Linked DNA regions of Sus scrofa. The protein of the gene in region 2 interacts with the protein of the main gene of each other region in a pairwise test. Links are inferred from orthologs where the notes say so. Each region holds a gene or a part of one and is shown on either strand. Other genes may lie near its edges. The genes, in order: REL, CHAF1A and MBD1.

Evidence for each region.
Region 1: the proteins of CHAF1A (region 2) and REL interact in binary tests that used the Homo sapiens proteins (3 or more experiments, as listed by UniProt). The two-hybrid records come from large-scale screens. The link is inferred for Sus scrofa from reciprocal best matches to the Homo sapiens genes CHAF1A and REL.
Region 3: the proteins of CHAF1A (region 2) and MBD1 interact in binary tests that used the Homo sapiens proteins (3 or more experiments, as listed by UniProt). The link is inferred for Sus scrofa from reciprocal best matches to the Homo sapiens genes CHAF1A and MBD1.

What each region holds. Positions count from the first base shown.
Region 1 is NC_010445.4:80,875,579-80,883,384, forward strand, and holds part of REL (proto-oncogene c-Rel), read right to left. Parts: intron 6,535-7,806; coding exon 6,394-6,534; intron 5,119-6,393; coding exon 5,014-5,118; intron 4,910-5,013; coding exon 4,697-4,909; intron 3,489-4,696; coding exon 3,420-3,488; intron 2,994-3,419; coding exon 2,922-2,993; intron 1,550-2,921; coding exon 777-1,549; 3' UTR 1-776. UniProt on the Homo sapiens protein: Proto-oncogene that may play a role in differentiation and lymphopoiesis.
Region 2 is NC_010444.4:74,406,451-74,414,932, forward strand, and holds the start of CHAF1A (chromatin assembly factor 1 subunit A), read right to left. Parts: upstream 5,426-8,482; 5' UTR 5,210-5,425; coding exon 5,158-5,209; intron 1,920-5,157; coding exon 1,869-1,919; intron 31-1,868; coding exon 1-30. Other genes in the region: SH3GL1 (endophilin-A2), read left to right, coding at 8,196-8,240. UniProt on the Homo sapiens protein: Acts as a component of the histone chaperone complex chromatin assembly factor 1 (CAF-1), which assembles histone octamers onto DNA during replication and repair.
Region 3 is NC_010443.5:99,905,757-99,913,562, reverse strand, and holds part of MBD1 (methyl-CpG-binding domain protein 1), read left to right. Parts: intron 1-2,110; exon of another isoform or gene 2,111-2,174; intron 2,175-3,253; coding exon 3,254-3,368; intron 3,369-3,464; coding exon 3,465-3,631; intron 3,632-3,716; coding exon 3,717-3,799; intron 3,800-3,973; coding exon 3,974-4,014; intron 4,015-4,372; coding exon 4,373-4,519; intron 4,520-4,614; coding exon 4,615-4,743; intron 4,744-4,915; coding exon 4,916-4,990; intron 4,991-5,127; coding exon 5,128-5,244; intron 5,245-5,327; coding exon 5,328-5,396; intron 5,397-5,959; coding exon 5,960-6,127; intron 6,128-6,478; coding exon 6,479-6,778; intron 6,779-6,871; coding exon 6,872-7,009; intron 7,010-7,359; coding exon 7,360-7,491; intron 7,492-7,575; coding exon 7,576-7,637; intron 7,638-7,806. UniProt on the Homo sapiens protein: Transcriptional repressor that binds CpG islands in promoters where the DNA is methylated at position 5 of cytosine within CpG dinucleotides. Binding is abolished by the presence of 7-mG that is produced by DNA damage by methylmethanesulfonate (MMS).

The DNA.
Region 1 (7,806 bases), on a different chromosome or scaffold from region 2:
ATTCTCTGCCAGCAAAACAAGAAGCTCCCAAGCCAAGACTGCCTGTTAGAGCAATCCATCCTCTACATACCTAAAGTTATAATTACAGTTGACCCTTGAACAACACAGGGGTTGGGGCACTGAGCCTCTGTACAGTGGAAAATCCATGTTTAACTTTAAAACTCTACAGATGGCCTCCTGTCTCTGCAATTCTGCATCCATGAATTCAGCCCGTCTCAAATCGTGTAGTACTGCAGTACTTGAACAGTAAAAAAAAAATCTGTGTACTGCACAATGGACCACACAGTTCAAACATGTGTTGTTCAAGATACTATTCCCTCTGATAAATATGTTTTTGAACTATCATCCCTAAAACATAACCAAAAAACTCCCTTGTGTCACAGTTGTAGTCAGAGAAATATAAAATTTTGCATCTACATAGATAAAATCAAAATGGTGACAACCTTTAAAGAGATTGAATTCTTTTTTTAGAAGTTTCCTTTATTTTGTTTTTTATTTTTAAAATTTTTATGGCCGCACCCACGGCATATGGAAGTTCCCAGGCTAGGGGTCGAACTGGCGCTCAAGCTGCCAGCCCATGCCCCAGCAAAGTGAGATCCAAACCACGTCTGCAACCTACATGGAAGCTTGTGGCAATACCAAATCCTTAACCCACTGAGCAAGGCCTGGGATTGAACCTGCATCATCATGGACACTGGTCAGGTTCATTTTCACTGAGCCACAATGGGAACTCCAAGAGATTTAATTAATTCACCATTTAAATCTTACAAGTTAACCTAAAAAAACTCAAATGCAAATGAGTCACTCAATTGTTCATTCTGCGTAGTGCCAATACCTGAATACTGACTATTTTGAACAAAACCATGACTGTTTGGATTAGTACTGTTTGATGGTCCTGACTCGTTTATCATACTGTTATCTGCACAATTAAAGTCAGATCCCTCAAATGCCTCTGACTGGGAAACAAAAGCAGTAGTACTGGAGCTGGTGACTGTTGACATACTGGAAGACGACATCTGATGGAGCTGTCTCAAGTCTCTTGGGTCTAACACTGAATTACAGGAAGGGTTTTCAAGATTCACGCTCACAAGTCTCGGATTATCAGTCTCCCTCATGCTGTCGTTACTGGGCGTTATCATGTTCACAGGACAATGAGGCAGCATGCTGGCATCAGAAATACCATATAAGTCAGCTGGTGACACAGACGATGCTTCCATTCTGCCTATGTCATTTGTATTATTATAAATGCAAGCATTAGAAGTATTCAGATCATTCATAACAGGCATTTCCAGGAATGGCGTGATAACATGTGAATTAGAGGAAAGGGTCCCTGGTGAGAAACCACTCAGTGAATTTGTATTGACTGAGCGTGAGGTGGGGCGGGCCACTGATGACCAGCTTGAAGAAGGCTGAGGTACCATTGTGGGTATGGTTGAAGCAGGATGTGACAATGCACTTGAGATGGATGAGGAATAGTAGGATTCTGCTTGACTTGAAACTGGCCTGGATGTTTCTGTCAAAACTGCACCATGAGAAAACAAGTTTGATTCTGTGGGAGATGAAATGTATTTTTACAAAACTGAAATGAACGAAATTATTAAAAGTATTATTTCTAAATTAAAATTACATAAACACACTAAAAATTTTCAAGGAAATTAATGTAACATTTCAAATAAAAATGGTAACTATTACAGGAGTCCAGAATTGACTTCTCTAATGCTTATTGTTTCACAAATACCTATAAAATGATTTTGGTTATTTTGGCATAGAAAATTTCATTCCAGTTAATTGTGAAAATATAATTTCCAAGGTCCTATAAAGGTATTTTGGGAGTTCCTGTCGTGGCGCATTGGAAACGAATCTGACTAGGAACCGTGAGGTTGCAGGTTCGATCCCTGGCCTCTCTCAGTGGGTTAAGGATCTGGCGCTGTCATGAGCTGTGGTGTAGGTCACAGATGCGGCTCAGATCCTGTGTTGCTGCAGCTATGGTGTAGGCTGGCAGCTGTAGCTCCGATGAGACCCCTAGCCTGGAAACCTCCATATGCCACAAGTGTGGCCGTAAAAAGCAAAAAAAAAAAAAAAGGTATTTTTGAACTGTGAAAGATAAATATCAGAATTTCAGTTAATGGGTCTCCAAAGAGTAAAAGTCATTTCATATTCTCCAGTTTTAGGAGAACAACTGAGGGACGGAGGAAACATTCATTATCGTGATTGAAAAATCCACATAAATTTCTAAGCTATAGTAAGATATAACTCACTCTAAGGCACTACAAAATTCCCAGACAGAAAAAAAATGAATGAATTATCATTAACATTGTAAAACTATACTTTAATAAAACTTTAAATAAAAAATGGAGTCTGTATTTATTTACATGTTATATGACTGCTGTGCATATTAAACTAAGAAAAAGTACTGATTTAAGAATATAAAAAAGAAGAAAAGATTTCTAATTAACCCTAGCAGAATGATCTAAATCAGAAATTGGCAACCTGTTTTTGTGCAAAGGGCTGGATAGTAAATATTTTAGGCATGGTGGGCCATAGAGTCTCTGTGGAACTACTCAACTCTGCTGCTCTGGTATAAGAAAATCATCCATAGACGATATTCAATCAGATGGACTGTGTTATAGTAAAACCTTACAAATAAATAAAGATAGGCACCTGGCAAGATCTAAACCATTTCTTCCATGACACACTGTAATTAGTAAAATCCCAAACAATAAATCCCCCAAATTTAATTGTAGTTGCCAACAGGACACTTTCAGAAGCTGAGATCTATTCAATCAATATTCTGAGCATGAAAAAAAAAATACATGAGTAGATAGACTATATCAAAGAGGTGGTTTTCATTCTTCAGAATGAAATTCCAATATCCTGTGCAAAGCACTGATCTCAAGAAATTCTGTATAGGGAATAAATACCTTTTTTGATGAATCTTCCTTCTCCCATTGTTCCTAGGGGATTAGGTCTAGGTCTTTCAGGAAAATTAACTCCTGCAATAAAATTTTTCCATTATCATAAATGCAGTTTGGGAGTTCTCATCATGGCTCAGTGGTTAACGAACCCGATGAGTATCCATGAGGATGAGGGTTCGATCCTTGACCTTGCTTAGTGGGTTAAGGATCCCACATTGCTGGGAGCTATGGTGTGGGTCACAGCTGTGGCTCAGATGTGGCATTGCTGTGGCTGTGGTGTAGGATGGCGGCTACAGCTCCAATTAGACCCTTAGCCTGGGAACTTCCATATGCCGCTTGTGCAGCCCTAAAGAGCAAAAAAAATTACAAATGCAGTTTGAAAAATAACAGTTATCAGTTAAAATATGAAAAACTACATAAAGAAAAAGAAACCCCAAAAAACAAACAAACAAAAAAACCCTCCTCAAACTTATTTAAATACAAATCAATCCAAAATGTTCTTACCACAATCCTGCCACAGTTTCTGGAAAAGTAGAGTTGTTTTTTGTTTCTTTGCTTTATTGCCATATGTATCTGGTTAGAAAGAAACCAGGAAAGCATGTGAATCATCATGGGATTATGCTTCCTCTCTTTTAATAAATATATAGATGTTTTAGTTCTATATAGAAAGTACGTTAAATAAATGTTCATAAAATGGGTTTATAAGTGTCACAAAGTATGTCCCAAGTCAGTAATAAAGGATTTTTTCTCTTAGTAAAAAAACAGTCTAGGAGTTCCCATCATGGCTCAGTGGTAATGAACATGACTAGTATCTATGAGGACGAGGGTTCAGTCCCTGGGCCCTCTCAGTGGGTTAAGGATCTGGTGTTGCTGTGGGCTGTGGTCTAGGTCACAGATGTGGCTGATATCCTGTGTCGCTGCAGCTGTGGCGCAGGCCAGCGGATACAGCTCCTAGCCTGGGAACTTCCATATGCTGGGGGTGCAGCCCTAAAAAGACCAAAAAAAAAGTCTGTAATAGTCATTTAATTTTCTTGTAACACCTATGAGTCACCAGTGTCAATTAAGGCAGTAAGGGCAGATAAGGACCAAAATGGAGACCACTTTTTTTTGGCCACACCTGTGGCATGTGGAAGTTCCCAGGCCAGGGATCTAACCTGATAACACTGGATCCTTGACCCAATGTGCCACCAGGGAATTCCAGAGACCACTTTCTGAGTGACAAGTTTGCCATCTATCCAGAGGACACAGTAAGGACCAAAATAGAATCTCAAATATAAAATAAATTTTGATAAACAGTTTAGATACTTTGAAATTATTCCAGGTTCCTTTTCTAAGAAAGAGATTCACAGAGCAAAAAAGAACAGTCAAAAATCAACCAAAAACTTTCAGGAAAAGAACCATAAATTATGAATAAGCATAACTGTATTCAAATATATCTTACAAGAAAATGTTATTAGTAGGACTAACTTTAAGAAATACATAAAACAGGAATTCCTGTTGTGCTCAGCGGAAATGAATCTGACTATCATCCATGAGGATGAGGGTTCGATCCCTGGCCTCAGTCAGTGGGTTAAGGATCTGGCGCTGCTGTGAGCTGTGGTGTAGGTCGCAGATGTGGCTTGGATCTGGAGTTGCTGTGGCTGTAGTGTAGGCTGGCAGCTACAGCTTCAATTTGACCCCTAGCCTGGGAACCTCCATATGCCATGGGTGCCACCCTGAAAAGACAAAGACAAAAAAAAAAGAAAAGACATATATAAAACCTTAACATGAAAAAGCCATACCTTTTTCATCTGGCAGATATCTAAAATCCATAGATTCACTAACTTCCTGGTCAGAAGGTCTCCGTAACTGCATTTTTACTGTTACTGGTTCTATTATAGCTTTGCAATATGGTGGAGTCTTGAAAACGATGGCTACTTGGCGGTGTACATCGGCTTGTGAAAAGATACCTTTTGCCTCCCAATCATTCAACACAAACCGAACTTCTATGTCATCTAGGGAATACAAAAGCAAATAACAATGGGAAAACAAGGTAAGATCTATTAATCTAAAATATATTCCGAATTTAATGAAACAAAAAAGAAACAAAAAAAAATACCTTTCTGTACTTTGTCACAGAGTAGAAATATTTCATCTCCTCCTCTGACACTTCCACAGTTCTTATTTACACGACAAATCCTTAATTCCGCAGTATTTGGAGCACCTACATATAAAGGTTTTTTTTTTTTAAATGGGTTGCCATGTTAGTAGTATGTTTTATTCCTTTTTGATGGACAGTTTTAGGAAAAAAATTTATAGGATAGACAAATGCATTAGTGTATAAATAAAGGACACTAAATACCTTAATCATCCACATCTACTTCTTTCTTTTCCTAAGGGCATTGCCCAAACTGCTTTAGAGCCTTATGACTTCATTTCTAGGCAATGACATGTCCTCTAATTAAATCTCTGTGCTTCCGGGAGTTCTCTTATGGCCCAGTGTGTTAAGGGGCCAACGCTGTCACTGCTGTGGCATGGGTGTGATCCCTGACCCAGGAACTTCTGTATGCTATAGATGCGACCAAAAAAAAAAAAAAAAAAAAAAAAAAAATCTGCTTGCTTCTAAATCCTGATTCTTCCTATCCATCCTATACGCAGTCACCAGATTAATTTTTTAAAATTATGACCACAACCCTATGGAAATGCAACTCTCATGCTTCCCATAATCTGGTCAATATTTTTCCAAAAACTTCCTGGTATTCAAAGCTCTCCGTGATGAAGATACTCTGATCTACCTATACAGCCCTCTGTCCCAGACACTATCCTTCTAACATGCAAAACAGGTGAAGTTATACATCATTGGTGGGTGCATATATAAGAGATACACACAGACACAAAGATAAAACATTTGAGGGCAATTTCATAATCTTTTAAAACTTTAAATATCCATATCCTTTGATTTAGCCTTTGCCAGTATTTCTACTTCTGCAAATTGATGCTAGAGAGATTTGCACAAGATATGCACATATAGGATATTTATTGCAATACAATTTTTTAAAGCAAAAAGAAGAAAGTGAGAAGGAAACAACCCAAATGTCTTGTAGTAGGGTCATGATTTAGTAAAATTATGATACAGCCGTATAAGGAAATATGTAGCTACTGAAAAGAATAAGATACCTCAAAGGAAAAGAAGTTCAAGGTATGTTGCTAAGAGGAAAAAAAAAAAAAGTAAAAAAAACCAATGACGATTTTTCAAAAAGTTGCCAAAAACATACTGCTTGTATGATGATGATCACAAGGTATTTGCATATGCATGATGAAGAAAGTGGTAAAACATCTTGGAGGATGAGATTATAGGAGATTTACTCTCCTTGTTATCAACATCAGTAATGTTTGAACTTCTCCTATAATGAATACATTATTTTTCTAATTACCAAAATACTTTAAAAATCATTTTTAAAAAGCTAAGGCTGCATATACAAAAAAATAAATTACTTACGGTTATCATAAATTGGATTAGAGACAACAGGAGGTAGAGCACTTGTCAAATTACCATGTTCATCAGGGAGGAAAACTTGAAAACATAATCTCACCACATTGAGGTCACAGTCTTCAATATCAAGCAGCTGTTGTTCAGGAACTGAATAGTACATTAAAAAAAAAAATACAGAATAGTCACACAGAACTAAAATCCTGCTAAACCCCTCTCCCTGCCCAATATAGGCAATAACCCTCAGCAGCATCTGAATCTGTACTAATGAAAACAGAAAGGTACACAATTGCCTTTTATCTTTTTCATTATGTGGTCACTACTAAACATAGTTCATTAAGTTACAGCCATGGTCAGGAAGTAACTATCCCAGTCACCTGGAATTTAGTGCAGAATCTAAAATTGACATAAATCAAATTTTTACAAAATGGTTGCCAGTTACATACAACAGAGAGTAGGCATTCATTCATTAATTTAACAAATATGTATTTAGTCAACTCACATGTTAAGGACTCTGTAAATTATCTCCAAAATCTGCATAAAAATTACTCTATTTTCCAGATGAGGAACTGATTTTAAAGAAATTAAATTACTTGTCCAAAGTGTCATACCTAAGAAGTGCTATAGCAGGAATTCAAATTCAGGCCATTGAATTGAGAACCTTTGCTCTTAAAAGTTTATTAGAAAATTTTACATAAATTTTGCATAAAAATGACATATACAGGAAAATCTAAATAAAATTTAGATCAATATTTTAGGGATTAAATACTAACAGGGATACTAGGTGAGGTAAGGCAGATAGTTTCCTTAAGAAATTTTATGGGCAAACTAGGTTTACGTATTTAAAAAAACCAAAAACCTATAGTAGGGAAATTTTACAGTTTTGAAAACTTTTTTAAAAAACTTTTTCTTTTTTTTTTTAAATGTGTGGAAGTTGCCAGGCCAGGGATCTAACCCTTGCCACAGCAGTGACCCAGGCCACAGCAGTGATAACACTGGATCCTTAACCTGCTGAGCCACCAGAGAACTCCCTAAAAACATTCTTTATAACAGAATATAATATAACGACAGTTAGATAAATTGCTATTTAAAAGAAATCTAGGAGTGTCTGTCACGGCTCTGCAGAAACAAATCTGACTAGTATCCACGAGGACTCAGGTCCTATCCCTGGCCTTGCTCAGTGGGTTAAGGACCTGGCGTTGCCATGAGCTGTGGTCTAGGTCGCAGACGTGGCTCGGATCTGGCGCTGCTGTGGCGTAGACAGGGCGGCTATAACTCTGATTTGACCCCCAGCCTCGGAACTTCCATATGCCGCTGGTGCAGCCCTAAAAAGACAAAAAAAATAAAAAAGAAAGAAAGAAACTAGTTTCAAAGGAAAATATTACTGGCTTTTCAAAAAATATAATTCTTTCAATCAACCAT
Region 2 (8,482 bases):
CAAGATTCAGGCGCTTGAAAGGCAGACGGGCTGAAACCAAAAGAGAAGGAGACCATCTTTTTAGTGAGAGTGTGAAGAATGACAGTCAATACTTTAATATTCCACATTCTCAAAAAATGATCGACTTTGGTGTGCTTGGGACAGGGGGAATTTCTAAAGGTTAAAAAAGGGTTATCTTTTTTTCTATTTTTTACTTTTTAGGGCTACTCCCTCGGCATATGGAAGTTCCCAGGCTAGGCGTCAAATCAGACCTACAGCTGCCAGCCTATACCACAGCCACAGTAACGCTAGATCCAAGCCACATCTGCGACCCACACCACAGCTCATGGCAACGCCAGATCCTTAACCTAATGAGTGAAGCCAGGGATTGACCCCACATCCTCATTGATCCTAGTTGGGCTCATTAACCTCTGAGCCACGAAGGGAACTCCAAAAGGGGGTATATTTTCATTACATGTATTTCCAACATCCTAATTTTTTCCCCCAACATCTTAATTTTTTAAAAGGCCCCCAAACTGACAAGTTTTCATAGCAAGGACACTGCCAGAATTTTGAAAGAGAAATTTCCGGATCTGTTCAAGATCCAGTTTAAATTCCAAAATTATATAATATGGGTGGAAAACCCATTTGAAGATAGTGCCTCTGATTCTGAAAAGCAAAAGAGATTGATCTGTTTATGGAAAGATTTCTCTCCGCCTCTAGCATCCCAGGCTATTAGCTTCTCTTCTCAATGAAACAAGTATCCTCCTATTGCATGCCAGCCTTCTGGCTGGTTCTAAGAGATACATGGCAACAGCTCAGGAGATAAGGAAACTGAAATGGGTGACTTCCCAAGAAGCCCACATTTACTCAAATGCCAAAACATCTCATTAACTGTTTTCTAATGTAATAGACTAAACAAATAAACTTGTCCTGGAGCTATTTATAAAATAATCTTACTCTCAAAATTCTGTAGTTTGCCCCTAATCCTTTAACCCCAGAAGATGGCAGTCCTTAATATGATTTTCGGCAATATTAAACTCAGTTGTCACAGGATAAGGCAAACTGCTACAGGGGAACCAAATAATCAAGCTTTAAAAAAACCAGAAACCGGAGTTCCCGTCGTGGCACAGTGGTTAACGAATCCGACTAGGAACCATGAGGTTGCGGGTTCGGTCCCTGCCCTTGCTCAGTGGGTTAACGATCCGGCGTTGCCGGGAGCTGTGGTGTAGGTTGCAGATGCAGCTCGGATCCCGCGTTGCTGTGGCTCTGGCGTAGGCCGGAGAATACAGCTCCGATTAGACCCCTAGCCTGGGAACCTCCATATGCCGTGGGAACGGCCCAAGAAATGGCAAAAAGACAAAAAAAAAAAAACAAAAAAACCCAGAAACCTTCCTTTTAAAAATACAATCTAACCACTAATTTGGCCTAAGTATAAACCCATTCTCCACCCCCCCACACAAAAGGGATTAGGGACACTTTTCATAAAAAATGGTTCAACCATGGGTAGCTATGCCTGCCAGGGGACATCTGGCAATGTCTGGAGCCATTACTGGTTGACAGTTGAAAGAAGAGGCCAGGAATGCTGCTAAACTCTCTACAGTATACAAAATAGCCTCCTCATGACAAAAAAATTACAAGACGTCAATAGTGCTTACTTTGAGAAACCCAATTATAAAGGATTTGCTCCAGGGAACAGAGGTGTAATGAAATGGGTTTCCTAGCTTCCAACTGTAAGATGCAACTGTTTTCTTCCTTCCAGCCCATTGATACTTCTGCTGAGAACCCCAAGAGAAGGCCTCTGCTCAAGGGGAATTAAAAATGCAATGGAGAAGACAATGAAGGATATAAACTAGGACCAAATATTTAACCCATCCCCAGAAAGTTACCTTGTATTAACTTCTTGACTGGAAAAGCTGGTCTGTCTTTGCAATCCATGGCTGTGAAATAAGTGGCAAAGAGTAATTTATTAGATATTGGAAATAATAAAGTAGCAAATACATATATAGTACCTGCTATGTAGAAAGTGGTTGTTCAGGGGGTTGATTTTGTTCTCCCCACTCCCAGGAACATTTGGCCATGTCTAAGGACATTTTTGGTTGTGATGACTGGAGAGATGGTGCTACTGGCATCTAGTGGGTAGGAGATAGGGATACTGCTAAATATTCTGCAATACACAGGATAGTCCCCCACGACAGAGAATTATCTGGCCCCAAATGTTAAGAGATTGAGAAATTCTGCCTTGGACAATGTGACATCTTCTTGTTTTATCTTCCTTGAGCAATTATCACTCTGAGACTTCTGTGTTTATGTCTTCCTGCGACAGAAGCCAGTTCTGTGACAGCAGAGAGACTGGTTCCAAACTGTATCTGTAGCACGGGCTTGGGTTTGGCACACAGTGAGAAATCAACAAACACAATAAAAAGGACAATGAAAAGAGGACTGAATAAAAGTAGAGATGAGAGAAAACACTGTATCATGGATTTTACCATTAATATGACCCCAAATCAAAACATCCCCCTCTAATCCCCACAAACAAATCTGTACAATTAGAATAAGGTTTATTTTCTTTTAAAACAGAGTTATGGAGTTCCCGTCATGGCGCAGTGGTTAACAAATCCGACTAGGAACCATGAGGTCGCGGGTTCGGTCCCTGCCCTTGCTCAGTGGGTTAACGATCCGGCGTTGCCGTGAGCTGTGGTGTAGGTCGCAGACGCGGCTCGGATCCTGCGTTGCTGTGGCTCTGGCGTAGGCCGGTGGCTACACCTCCGATTCGACCCCTAGCCTGGGAACCTCCATATGCCGCGGAAGCGGCCCAAAGAAATAGCAAAAAGACAAAAAAAAAAAAAAAAATAAAAAATAAAAATAAAACAGTTATAAAGGTAATATAACTAAAGCATTTCCAGAGCTTGCCAGACTGGAGCTAAAGTACTGTCAAGAAATGACAAGGAGGAGTTCCCGTTGTGGCTTAGAGGTAACAAACACAATTAGTATTCATGAGGATGCAGTAGGATCCCTGGCCTCACTCAGTGGGTTAAGGAACAAACGTTGCCGTGAGCTGTGGTGTAGGTCGTGTTGCAGACATGGCTCAGATCCTGCATTGCTGTGGCTGTGGTGTAGGCCAGCAGCTGGGAACTTCTCTATGCCACAGGTGTGGGTTAAGGACCCATGTTGTCTCTGTGAGGATGCAAGTTTGATCCCTGGGTCTCGCTCAGGGGGTTACAGAGCCAGATGCGGCTTGGATCCATGTTTCCGTGCTCATGGTGTAGGTCCCAGCCGCATCGCCAATTCAACCCCTGGCCCAGGAACTTCCATGTGTGGCAGGTGCGGCCGTAAAGAGAAGGAAAAAAAAAGGAAATGACAAGGGGAATGTTTTCCTGCACACACACACTTCGGAAAAAAAGTATCTAACAATATCAAAGCTGATGGGGAAATGCACATAATAGAGACAAATCTTTGGATAGGTATCTTGAAATGGCTAGAATAAATTTAGAAGCTGACAACTGCTAGATTTGGCTTAGAAAAGTCTAATTTAGTTATTCTGGCCAATATAAGTTAAAATATATATGTGTAGTGTGTGTGTATGTGTGTGTGTGTGTGTGTGTGTGTATGTGTGTATATATATATATATATATATATATATATATATATATATATGTATATGAGTACTTTTAAAAAGCAGATTGGGGCTTTCTAAAAACTCAACTGTCCGTTAGATGAAGCTGCCCTATCCCCTTTCCAAGCTTGGAATATAAGAAAGGTACCCAGAAGACTCACATATCCTCTCCACCCATTTCAAGATATCATTCTCAAGTTTTCAGTTACCAAAAACAAACAAACAAACAAAACCTTCCCACTGCTAGCTAAAGGATACATTAACTTAGCCACTTAAATTTAAATTTATTTTTAGTTTAACTGCAGGATTTATTGGCATGTCCCTGAGTCACCAGCTTTAATGCAAGTGCAGCAAAAGTGACCTGGGCCCAGAAGCAACCTCAGGTCGATGTAAAATGGATCTCATCTAGGGACGCGGCTTGTTCAAACATATACATAACAATTAACACATTTGTGTATATAAACTTACCACTGCTCTTTATTGAAATTATTTTCTTTCTAGTTTTATTTAGCATTAAGACATCTTTCTCTTTTATGGTATTATGATCATAACAGATGGTGCTTTTAAAATTTTCTAATTAACCATTTAATTGACCCTTACTCGGTCAAATGACTGTCCATGACAATCGGTCCCAACTTTATTTCATAAATTCTATGTCTATTTAAAATCCCAAAGTCTGGAAACAATTAGCACAGTGGTTCTCAATTAGGGGGCCCCTTGACAGTGCCTAGGATACATTATTGTCACAACTAGGAAGGAAGTGTTGCTACTGAGATCTAATGGGTGGAGACCAGGGATGCTGCTAGACACCCTACAATGCACAGGACGGCCCCAAATGTCAATAGTGCTGAGATTGAGAAACCCTGGACTAGTCTAGTTGAGGTCCCTGCCAACCCTTCATTCAAACAACCCACATTTATTGAGCAGCTACTACATGCCAAGCATTTTGCCAAGTGCTGGGGGTAAAAGGAGTCAAGTCGTCTGGTCTTCCGTGGTTCACCACCCCCCATCTTGAGGGCCTGCCAGAAAGCCCCCTCCCAAGACAGAGTAAGGAGAAAGACAGGTCGGCAGCATCAAGAACCCGGGACCCTTATCATCCGGGCCTCTTACCTGGGCTTGCCCTGACCCGCAGACGCAACTGTTCTGGTCCCCGAGCCCTTGTGACCCTGGACCTCCGTTTCTCCACCCAGTTTTGGGGCCGCTGCAGCGTCCAACTTATCAAGGGACACAAACGCACTCGGTAACTTCCAAAGCCGGCTTTTTCGCCTCTCTGGGCCTCCGTTTCCCCTCCTGGCCACACACACCCGTCACCGCAGAGCGCCCTGGAAGGGCGAACTGACGGCAAAAGCGCCGGGAGAAAATGGTCGCGGCTACAATAACGTCAAGAAGAGCGCCCTTTGAGTCCCAAGGCCCTTCCTTGGGACTGTAAGCTCCACGGACCGAACGCGAGGAGCCGAGGAGAGGGCCCGGGACTGGAGGCCCGTCCGCCCCCAACTGCCGCCTCGGCCCTCACAGGCCGCACGCCGCGCCCCCCCTTCCCCTCCGCGCGTGCCGGAACCGACCTGCAGCGGCTCCCCGGGCGCCTGGCGCCCCGCACTCCGGCTCCTCCAGCATTGTCCCGGCAGCGTCTCGAACTCCCCTCAGGCGGAGGAGGCGCGGGCTCCGCTGAGGCGGCCGCTGCTGCTCGCCCTCCCGCCCGCGCCGCTGCTACCGCGGCCGCCGCGCTCGTATTTGGCGGGAACCGCGGCGACCCCCGCGGCCGATGCGCCGATTGGGTGAGGCCGCATCACGTGACGCGCTTCCTCGGGAAGAGGGGTGCTCCGGGAGAATCCTCGCGAGAGCCGAGGCTTCCATTACTCCCAGGGCTCCCCTATTGATATTCCCGCTGAGGGCGGGGTGTCCCCCTCGGCAGCCTGTCATTGGCGGTGAACATGTGCCCTGTGATTGGGGGAGGGTGATATCAATCTGAGAATCGACACTGTTATTGGTTGATTGCTGGGGTATGTGGGTGGGGAGTGGGAGGAGGAAGGGCCAGGTTCCTACGTCGTGACAAAACGCTTTACACAGGGCACCAGAGACAGCCTGAAACTGCGATTTAGCTGAAGACTGAAGTTTTTTTAAGTCGTAATTGGATATAGGCTGCACACATAGCAACAGAAATTAAAATTATGAACTCTTTTAATACGAATAATAAAAATAGAATAAATAAACTCTAGGCATCGCTTCAGAAGCATTTGAGATGCAGTGAATATATTCAGAGGGAACGAATGAAATGAATGTTTCTGGTTTAATCCCTCAGGGTTTTGCATAGGCTGTTTCTTCGCCTGGAACACTCTTTCCTCAGCTCTTTTCCTGGTTGATTTTTACCTAACTTTCAGATCTTAGATCAAAACCCCAGAGAAGCCTTTTCTCCCCTACCCCAACAACATGAAGTTCCTACAACACAGTCATTTTTCTTGGAATAATTACACCTTGTGTTTATTTATTAGCGTGTTATTGGTTAATGAATTAATTCCTGTTTTTATCATTAGCTCCATGAAGGCAAAAATCATTTATCATGGTATCCTCAGGACCTATTGATGACTTACGCAGTAGTAGGTACCCAATATATATATATGAGTGAATACATTAAATACCATTTGATTAAACTGTGACCGGATAAATTAAAAGCCTCTCACAGAACAGAGACCTTCAGAATCAGTCTGTGAGCCTTAGAACAGGTTTTCTTCAGCATCTATTTATCGCTCAAGCAGAGCAGAAGTGAGAATAGTAAAATTTAGCCCAATTTTGGAATTCTATTTATCCTGTAAATTGGATAATTAAATCAGTATGATTGTTGTAAATCATGTGGAAAAATAGGAAATTCGAGGACATCGCTTTAGGCAAGTAAGTCGTGTCTTACTCAAGACCTCAGTTTCTCCCTCTGAACCATTAGGATGTTTTCCCTTCCTTCTCTAACATTCTGACATCTGAAATGATTGAGACTAGTGCATCACCCTTCAGGATGCCCATCAGAATCACATGGAAAAAATTTCAAACTATTAATAATAGCCTCATCAGGATCTTGGGGAAAGAGGTTGGAGCCTGCCTATTGCGAAGCAATCCTCTAATCTAGCCCAGGACCTACCATTGAGGCACTTGGAAACTTCTAGCAATCCTCTGCTTTACAAAAGCACTCAACTCTGTCAGAGATTTTGGAAATGAAATTGCAAGCACTTTAGCTCTGGTCATTTTATTATTCTTCTTTTTGGATTCATTTATTCACTTCAATTCACTATTAATTTCCACTTCATTCAATAAAATAACAGTTGGTTAAAAAAGTCAATATCAGTAAACATTTATCAATCTGAGAAGGCTTCCTGGAGGAGGTGCCATTGCAAAGAGTCCTCTTAGGCACAAGGAAAAGGGAAAAGATTGGGGAAGAATATGCAAGAGAGGAACAATGTTAGCAAAACACATGGATTATAGATGAAGACAGCTGAAATCAGAAAAGGTGATGGGGGAGTTCCCATCATGGCACAGCAGAAATGAATCCGACTAGGAACCGTGAGGTTGCAGGTTCAATCCCTGGCCTGGCTTGGTGGGTTAAGGATCCGGCTTTGCCATGGGCTGTGGCATAGGTCCACAGCTACAGCTCCGATTAGACCCCTAGCCTGGGAACCTCCATATGCCACAGGCGTGGCCCTAAAAAACAAAACAAAACAAAAACAAAAACCCAGAAAAGATGATGGGGGCCAAATTATGCAAGCTTTGTAGGCCATCCTAGGAAATTGGTAGTGTATTCTAAGGCCAGTAGGTGGACTTTAAACAGAGGGCTGATGTGATCTGAATTGTGTCATAGAAGCATCTTTCTGGTTGCCTTGTAGGCAATGAATTGGAGGCAAGAACCTGAAGGTGGGCACATCAGAGAGGAGGCTGGTGGAATGGTCTGATCAGGGCAGAGAAGAGAGTTGGGGGTGGGATAGTGGAAAGGAGGTACAAGAGATACCCTGATGTCTGACTTGGGCAACTGAATAGATGAACACTGGGCAGGACGCGATGATGGTGGAAGGTACTAGACGCACAGAAGAACTGGCTATAGCTGAGATTAGTGAACAGGCATCCAAAGTTCTGTAAACTTAGCTTCTGGAGTTCTACTTGTCCCTTGACCTCCCTCTCTGCAGAAAGGTCTAACCGCCTTTCTTAAGAAGTCAGGCCCACCTCCGGGAGTCCAGGGGACGCTGCAGTCGCTAAGGCTCCTCCTGTAGGCTTGCCTGGGCCCACTCACTGACCGAGGAGGCCTCTGCGGTAGTAGGAGCGCGCTTGCGCCACCCGGCCGGCAGGGGGCGCGCGTGCGCATATGGGGCCGGGGCAGCGCGGGCGCGCGCGCGGAGGCCGGCACCGGAAGTGTGCGGTTGCCATGTAATATCCTGGCCGCGCGAGCGCGCAAAGGGCTGAGGCGGTGCCGGGGCGGGCGCGGAGCTGGCGAGGGGACGGCGGAGGCGGTGCCGTAGGGGCCCGCTGAGGCGCGCGGGGGGTTGGCGGCGCCCGGGAGCCTGTCGCTTGCGCGATCCCTCCGGTTCGCTGGGTCCGGGCTGGAGGCCCGACGTCAGGAGGCAGCATGTCGGTAGCCGGGCTGAAGAAGCAGTTCTACAAGGCGAGCCAGGTGAGCAGAGGCCGAGGCAGGGGGTGAACTTCGGGCCCCACGCTGTTCGGAGCTGGGCCAGACCAGGCCAGGCTTGGTCTTGGCTCGGGAGAAGACTGGGGGCACCGAAGGGGCGGCGTTGGCACGTGTCCCCCGGCAGGATGGGGACAGCCCAGAAGGAATGAGGTCTTGTGCGAGGTGGCCCAGGCCCTGCCCGCCATGTGGACTCCAGTCTCCATGAGAAGAGTGGGCAGACCTTTAAG
Region 3 (7,806 bases), on a different chromosome or scaffold from region 2:
TTGTTTGTATACAGTTGACCCTTGAACAATGCTGGGATCTGGGGTGCCATTCCCCTGTGCAGTGGAAAATCCACGTATAATTTTTGACTCCTTAAAAACTTGATTAGTAGTAGCCTAATGTTGAGCTGCTAATGAATGAATTTTTATAATTTTTTTATGGCATAAAGTGTTGTAATCCTGTTCATAATACAGTATTGGAAACATTGTTACATTTTTAACAATACCACTTACCTGTGATGATAGGCAATTTCTCTAATTACCAGAGAGAGAAGCATACTGTACGGTAATGTAATTCTTTGAAAACAAAGTTGTAAGACAGTAAGAAAACTAATACATTAATTTTGTATTAAATATTACTCACCTCATGCCTCTAAAAGGATAAGCTATCCACTTCAAGTCTTGCACAGATGAATACATGATGATGATGACACAAAAACATCTCATACAGTTCTTGCTGTATAGTTGTTAGATTTTTCACATGAAGATACATGCAAACACGATAAATAAATATTAACTGTACAGCCTGATGATTATTTACTATTCATTAAGTGGAAGTGGATCATCATAAAGGTCTTCATCTTTGTTGTCTTCATGTTGAGTAGGCTGAGGAGGAGGAGGAAGGGAGGGATATGGTCTTGCTGAGGAGGGGTGGCAGAGGCAGAAGGAGGAGGAGGAGGAGGTGAGGAGGAGAGGCAAGCGCATTTGGTATAACCTTACAGAAATACATCATAATTTCTATTTGACTTTTTTTGCTTTTTGATTTCTCCAAAAATGTTTCTACACAGTACCAATCTTTCTTCTACCGTTTGCTTTAGTTTCAGTGTATATCATAGAAGGGTCCATGTTGTAAAAGAAATCAAATCCTTCTGCTAGATTGTCTCATGTCAGTTTTTTCTGGCACTATTTTTCCTTCATCTTCTTCCTCATCATCTGGTACTGGTTCAGCAGCATTTATCTCCATCAAATCATCTAGTGTTAGTTCCTCTGGTGTGGTGTCTCTTAGCTCTTGAATCCAAGATCCATTTCTTGAAACCCTTCATCCCCTCCCTTCTTTTTGCTGAATCTGTAATCTCTTTCATGATTTCCTTGATTGACTTGGTCATAAATCCCATGAAGTCATGCACAACATCTGGACATAGTTTTCTCCAGCAGGAATTTACTGTTTGGGGCTTGATAACGTTCATGATGTTCCCTTTATCAGAATTCTTTTCCATAGTGTTGACAATTCTTTTCATTGAGTACCATGTGTAAAGAGCCTTAAAGTTCCTTGTGACCACCCAATCTAGAGGCTGAATGTTTGAGGGCATATAGACTACTTCATTGCCTTTGGTATTGAACTCATGGTACTCTGGATGTCCAAGGACATTGTCCAAAAGAACTTTAAAAGCTGACTTTTAAAGTTCTTCTTGACTTCAGGGATATAGCATTGATGGAACCAATCCAGAGAAAGGGTTCTCACTGTCCAGGCCTTCTTGTACAATGAAAGACTGGCAGCTGGTGTTTATCTATTCCCTCTAAGGCTCAAGGGTTATCAGTTTTATAGATAAGGACAGTCCTGATCATGAACTTGACTGCATTTGCACAAAACAGTAGAGTTAGCCTATCTCTTCCTGCTTCAAATCCTGTTGCTCACTTCTCTTCCTTACAAATATCCAGGTATCCTTTGCAGTATTTCCCCCCCCCCCCGAATGTGGCACTTTTGTTTGCATTAAAAACCTATTCAGGCAAATATCCTTTCTCCTCAATGATTTTCTTAATGGCATCTGGGAACTTGTCTGCTGCCTCTTGGTTAACAGAGGCACTTTTTCTTTATCTTGATATTTTCTAAGCCAAACCTCTTTGTAAAATTATCAAACCATCCTTTGCTGGTATTAAATTCTTCAGCTTTAGAGCCTTCACCTTCCTGTGGCTTTAAGTTGTCATGTAACGACTTTGTCTGGAATCCTGTTGAAATGTATAGGTATAGCTTTCTTATAGCAATCCTGCACCCACATTAAAGTTGCATTTTCAGTACAAGATTAAAAGGTATATTGCAAAAAGTGCGTTTTCACGCCTGCTGGCGTAGCTGCAGTGACAGCTTCATGAATTTCCTTTTTTTTTTTTACAATAGTCCTTACGCTGGATTCATTAATCTTGAATTGGCGGGCAACCACAGCTGCAGACCTCAATCTACGGTACATATCAAGCAATTCAACTTTTTCTTGTAATGTCATGACTTTTCTTTCCTTCTTGGGAGCATTTTTAGCATCCATAGCCACACTTTGTGTGGTTCCCATAGTGTTATTCAAGGCTTACAGTATTGCAATAAAGATGATGAAAATGACGCAAGGACTGCAAGGGGTCACTTTCTACTGTGATGCGCAATTTACTGGAGAAACAAACTGCTTACTTGGAGATGATTTGCCTTCTGTGGCATTTTAAGCAGATTCTCGCAACACTTGAACTCACTTCAATAGCAACAGGAGGTAGCTATGGGATGATTACAGTGGTACGACATGTACTACAGTTAATTTTATGCAGTTATGATGTAATACTGCATTTTTATGTTTGTTTACATTTCTCTTGACTGTGAATGGTGCCATGTAGTCTTTAAGTATTTGTGTCCATACGTTTTGAAAAATTTTAACTTTTTATGATAGATTTAGGTATATTTTATGGTAGTAAATGATAAAATAGACTTTTATGCATTTATGACATACCTAACTTTATCTTAATTTTTTCAATATGTCTAGGCTACATGGTTCATCACAAATCTCCAAAAATAATTTTCCAATATAGTTACTGAAAAAAATCCATGCATAAGTGGACCCGTGTAATTCAAACCTGTGTTGTTCAAGGGCCAGCTGTTTAAAACATTTGTTTGTTTCTTTCATAAGCTTTCTTTGTTTACGTATTTAGTATGTAATGCTAACACAGTTACATATTATTTAATATATTTGTGTTCCTGTTTGTGTTTATTTTCACTTACATGGAATACCACTAGTAGCACATGTTATAAATAGGTGCATATCTGCACCTATATGTTTATGTTATTCATTAATGTTTGTACACATGTTGATATTTATACACCTTTTTTATTCCTACTGTTTAGGGTTATTTGGGGTAGGGCCTGGATGGGGCTCGTAGGCTCATCTCAGTCTGCCTCCTGTATTCCACCAGCTCTGCAGACCTATTCACCAGCCCAGTGGGAGGGTTGAGAGGGTGGAGTGGCAGTGGCTCCACCTGGGTACCAACCCATCCTGGCTACCCTCAGCCCCACAGGAGACAGGATCCGAAGCAAAGTTGAGCTCACCCGATACCTGGGCCCTGCGTGTGACCTCTCCCTCTTTGACTTCAAACAAGGCATCTTGTGCTATCCAGCCCCTAAGGTACAAGACACTGTGCGGTACCCAGGCTGGGGTGGCTGAGCTACCTAATACCCACCCACTGACATGTGTTCTTCCTGCCCTTGCTCTTATCTCCAGGCCCATTCCTTGGCTGTCCCCAGCAGGAAGCGGAAGAAGCCTTCAAAGCCAGCCAAGGCTCGGAAACGTCAGGTTGGCCCCCAAAAGAGTGAGGTCAGGAAGGAGACCCCAAGGGATGAGACCAAGGCTGACGCTAACCCAGCCCCAGCTTCACTTCCTGCACCTGGGTGAGTGTTGGTCTAGTGAGCCAAATCCATGAGGGTTGTGTTTGGGGGTACATTCAGGGCCCCACACCCATGTCTTCCATCCCAGGTGCTGTGAGAACTGTGGAATCAGCTTCTCAGGGGATGGTACCCGAAGGCAGAGGCTCAAGACTTTGTGCAAGGACTGCCGAGGTGAGTGGCCCCTGGGGCACTGGGAGGTAGAGCTGGAGCAGGCCTGGAGCTCTAAGGCTAGGAAACGGGTGTCTGGCTAGAGGTTGAATGGTAGATGTTAGGGCAGAGGCAGTGGTGAGGTCAGATATCTGATGCTCCCTTTACATTTCTCTTCTACTCTCTCCCTCCCTGAAGCACAGAGAATTGCTTTCAACCGGGAGCAGAGGATGTTTAAGGTAAGCACGACCTGCCTCCTCCTCACAGGTGTGCGGTGGGAGCAGGATGTGATGGGGGCTGGTGAGGGTCTGAAGGAGCAGTGATGAATCCGCAGGGTGTCAGGGTCATTTTGTGGGTAGCAAGCTGAAGTCAGCCGACTAAAGGGAGTGAATGGGCTGTCAGTGGATACAGGGAAATAGTAGACATTGTTACAGCCTCAGTGACGGTGGCTAATCAGTAATTTTCAGACAGTGAGGAGGCAAATGATTAGCAGACATGGTGATGGGGGCTAATATGGAGTCAGCAGACACGTGAGAGGCAGTGCTCCCAGAGCCAGTCTGCGTGGACCTGTGACCTTGCCCCACCCATTCCCGGCAGCGTGTGGGCTGTGGGGAGTGCACAGCCTGCCAGGTAACAGAAGACTGTGGGGCCTGCTCCACCTGCCTTCTGCAGTTGCCCCATGACGTGGCATCGGGGCTGTTCTGCAAGTGTGAGCAAAGACGGTGCCTCCGGATTGTGGAAAGGGTGAGTTGGGCAGGTGGGGTGGGCCCAAGGCTCACATGAGCTCCTGGTCCTCATAATCCTGGCCCCATGCATCATATCTCTGGCTCCCCCTACAGAGCCGAGGATGTGGAGTATGCCGGGGCTGTCAGACCCGAGAGGACTGTGGGCGTTGTCGAGTCTGCCTTCGCCCTCCCCGCCCTGGTCTCAGGCGCCAGTGGAAGTGCGTCCAGCGGCGTTGCTTACGGGTGAGTCAGGCTGGAGGGGCCAGTGTTGGTGGGCTGGGGCAGAGCTCATTCTGCTGTTAAAGCTGCTGCCGCTGCTACTTTCTTCCAACTTGGACTTGCCAACCTCATGTCTTCTTTTTTCTCCCACCTGTGCTCACCTCTCTGGCCCCACCTACCTGCCCCTGTCTGCCAGCACCTTGCCCATCGCCTCCGTCGCCACCATCAGCGATGTCAACGACGCCCTTCCCTAGCTGTGGCTCCCCCTGCTGTGAGTGCCCCCCCACCACACACACTCTGCCTGCCTGTCCCACACGCATGCTTTTTCTGCACATCTTGGGGAAGGAAGGTAGTCCTGTGTCTGCCTGGTGCCGCCAAGCCTAAACTATCCTTTCTGTTTTCTCTTAGGGTAAACATGGCCGCCGCAGGGGAGGCTGTGACTCCAAGGTAGCTCCACGGCGGCGGTCCCGAGCACAGCCACTGCCTCCGCTTCTCCCGTCACAGCCTCCAGAGTCTCCAGAGCTGGTGAGGCCCTAGTAGGCAGGGGGAAGGCACAACTGTAACCCGACCCAGTACCTGCCCTGACCCCACCCCATTTGCCTCTGCAGCACCCCAGAACCCTGGCCCCCTTGCCACGTGCCGAATTCATCTATTACTGTGTAGACGAGGACGAGCTAGTGAGTGGCTTCACCCTACTTGGACAACCCTAGACTCCAGGGCATTTGGTTAACGCCAAAGACACAGATGTTGCAATGGGCCTAATAAGGGAATAGTAAGGCACAGTGATGGATACCAGTATGGGAGGAGCAGACAATGGGGGAGGAACAGCAGGTGTAGTGATAGTACCTAATGTCAGGTGAACCAATACTCTGGCAGGGCTAATAAAGGAAAAGCTGGTACAGTGACTCAAGTTCATGTAGAATGAGCACACATTGCAGGCACAATGATGTGAGCTAACAGAATGTCAGCAAAATCCTGCCGGAAGCAGGCATCAGGGATATTGTCTTGGTGACTAGTAGGGGACTAGCAGGTAGAATGATGGATACTGTACTGGAGCAGCCACAGTCCTCATGGTACTGAGGGCCATCTGGTGCAGTGATGGTGCCCACTATTGGACTAGTGGGGAGTCAGGCTAAGACTAATGTGCCACCAGTTCCCTCCAGTGGGGCTAGTGGAGGAGTGACAGGAGGAACATTGTAATTGTCCTAGTGGCAGCACCCACCATCTCCCTGTTCCCCAGCAGCCTTATACGAACCGCCGGCAGAATCGCAAGTGTGGGGCCTGTACAGCCTGCCTGCGGCGGATGGACTGTGGCCACTGTGACTTCTGCTGTGACAAGCCCAAATTTGGGGGCAGCAACCAGAAGCGCCAGAAATGTCGTTGGCGCCAATGCCTGCAGTTTGCTATGGTGGGTACAGCAGGAAGGGTCATGTGGGTGGGATGAATACAGCCAGGTCTTCCAGTGCCTGGGAGGGGTGGGCAGGACTGGTAGGGGGATGGGAACAGGCCAGATGGGAACTGCAGTTTTAGAGCAGTGAATGGGGCAATGGGTTTGGCTAAGATTTGCAGACATTAGGCTGGGGTAAATGAAGAATCTGGGGGACAATGGCCTTATTAACAGGCTCGATGATGAGGGCCTCATATATAAGCAGATTCTGTGCTGGGACTAATGGGGGGATTTGCCGGCATATTGATTGGGGCAGGGTAGTGTGATTGGTCATTGTACCAGATAGCCATAACACCCCATCTCTCTTCACAGAAGCGGCTGCTGCCAAGTGTCTGGGCAGGGTCTGAGGATGGGTCAGAGCCGCCCCCACCTTACCCTCGTCGAAAAAGGCCTTGCTCTACTCGAAGGCCTCGTCTGGGTCAGACCCTGAAGCCTCCCTTGGCCACACCTACAGCCCGACGAGACCATACCCAGACTTCAATGAAGCAGGAAACGGGCGGTGGCTTTGTGCTGCCCCCACCTGGCACTGACCTTGTGTTCTTACGGGAGGGTGCAAGCAGTCCTGTGCAGGTGCCTGGCCCAGCTCCAGCTTCCACAGAAGCTTTGTTGCAGGTGAGGATCCCATGATATCCTGCCTTTCTCAACCCCACCCAGCCTCGTGCCAGGAAGCTGGGACCAAGTCTGCTGCAATCCTCCTTCACACAGGAGGCCCAGTGCCCTGGCCTGAGTTGGGTTGTGGCCTTACCCCAGGTGAAGCAAGAGAAGGCGGATGCCCAGGAAGACTGGACACCGGGCACAGCCATCCTGACTTCTCCTGTATTGCTGCCGGGCTGCCCCAGCAAGGTGGGGGCCAGTGATGGGTGGTCTGTGAGCAGAATGATGGGGAGCCATGATGGTGGTTCTTTGAGCAAAGTAACAGGCATGCTGATTACAGCCTCTCACAGAATTATCCCGCCTGTCTGATAGATGCCGCACCCTCCTCAGGCAACTAGTTTTGCCTGCTTTGCTGCCCAGCTTACAGAAAATGGAAGTCTAAGAGGAGTGGGAAAGGTTTGTAGGCAGAGAGATGGTTTTTCTGTGCTCAGGTGTGACAAAAGTGGGATTGTCAGCACAGTGACAGGTTGGCTGATAGGAACACTTTCTTCAGGCCAGCTCTGTTCTTCTGACAGCTGTCCATTTCCCACCTCTCCCAGACAGTAGATCCAGGCCTTCCAGCTGTGAAGCAAGAGCCACCTGACCCTGAGGAGGACAAGGAGGAGAACAAGGATGACTCTGCCTCTGACTTGGCCCCAGAGGAGGAGGCAGGAGGGGCTGGCACGCCCGTGGTCAGTGCTGGGGGACACCTCACCCTGCCCTGACTCTGCTTTAGCCCAGCGGCTGTGTTGACCCTGATGTTAATTCTTCCCTAGATCACGGAGATTTTCAGCCTGGGTGGAACCCGCCTCCGGGACACAGCAGTCTGGTTGCCAAGGTGTGCCCCGCACAGTGAGGGGTGGGGTGGGGCGGGTGCTGGTCAGGTGCGGGCCCTGAGTTTTGAAAGTAATAGCCAGCGTTTTGGCATGGTGTAGTGTGAGTTAAAGGCCCCACGCCACTGCTTTGATCACATTTAGTGAAGGGGTATGTACAGGACGCTAGAAATT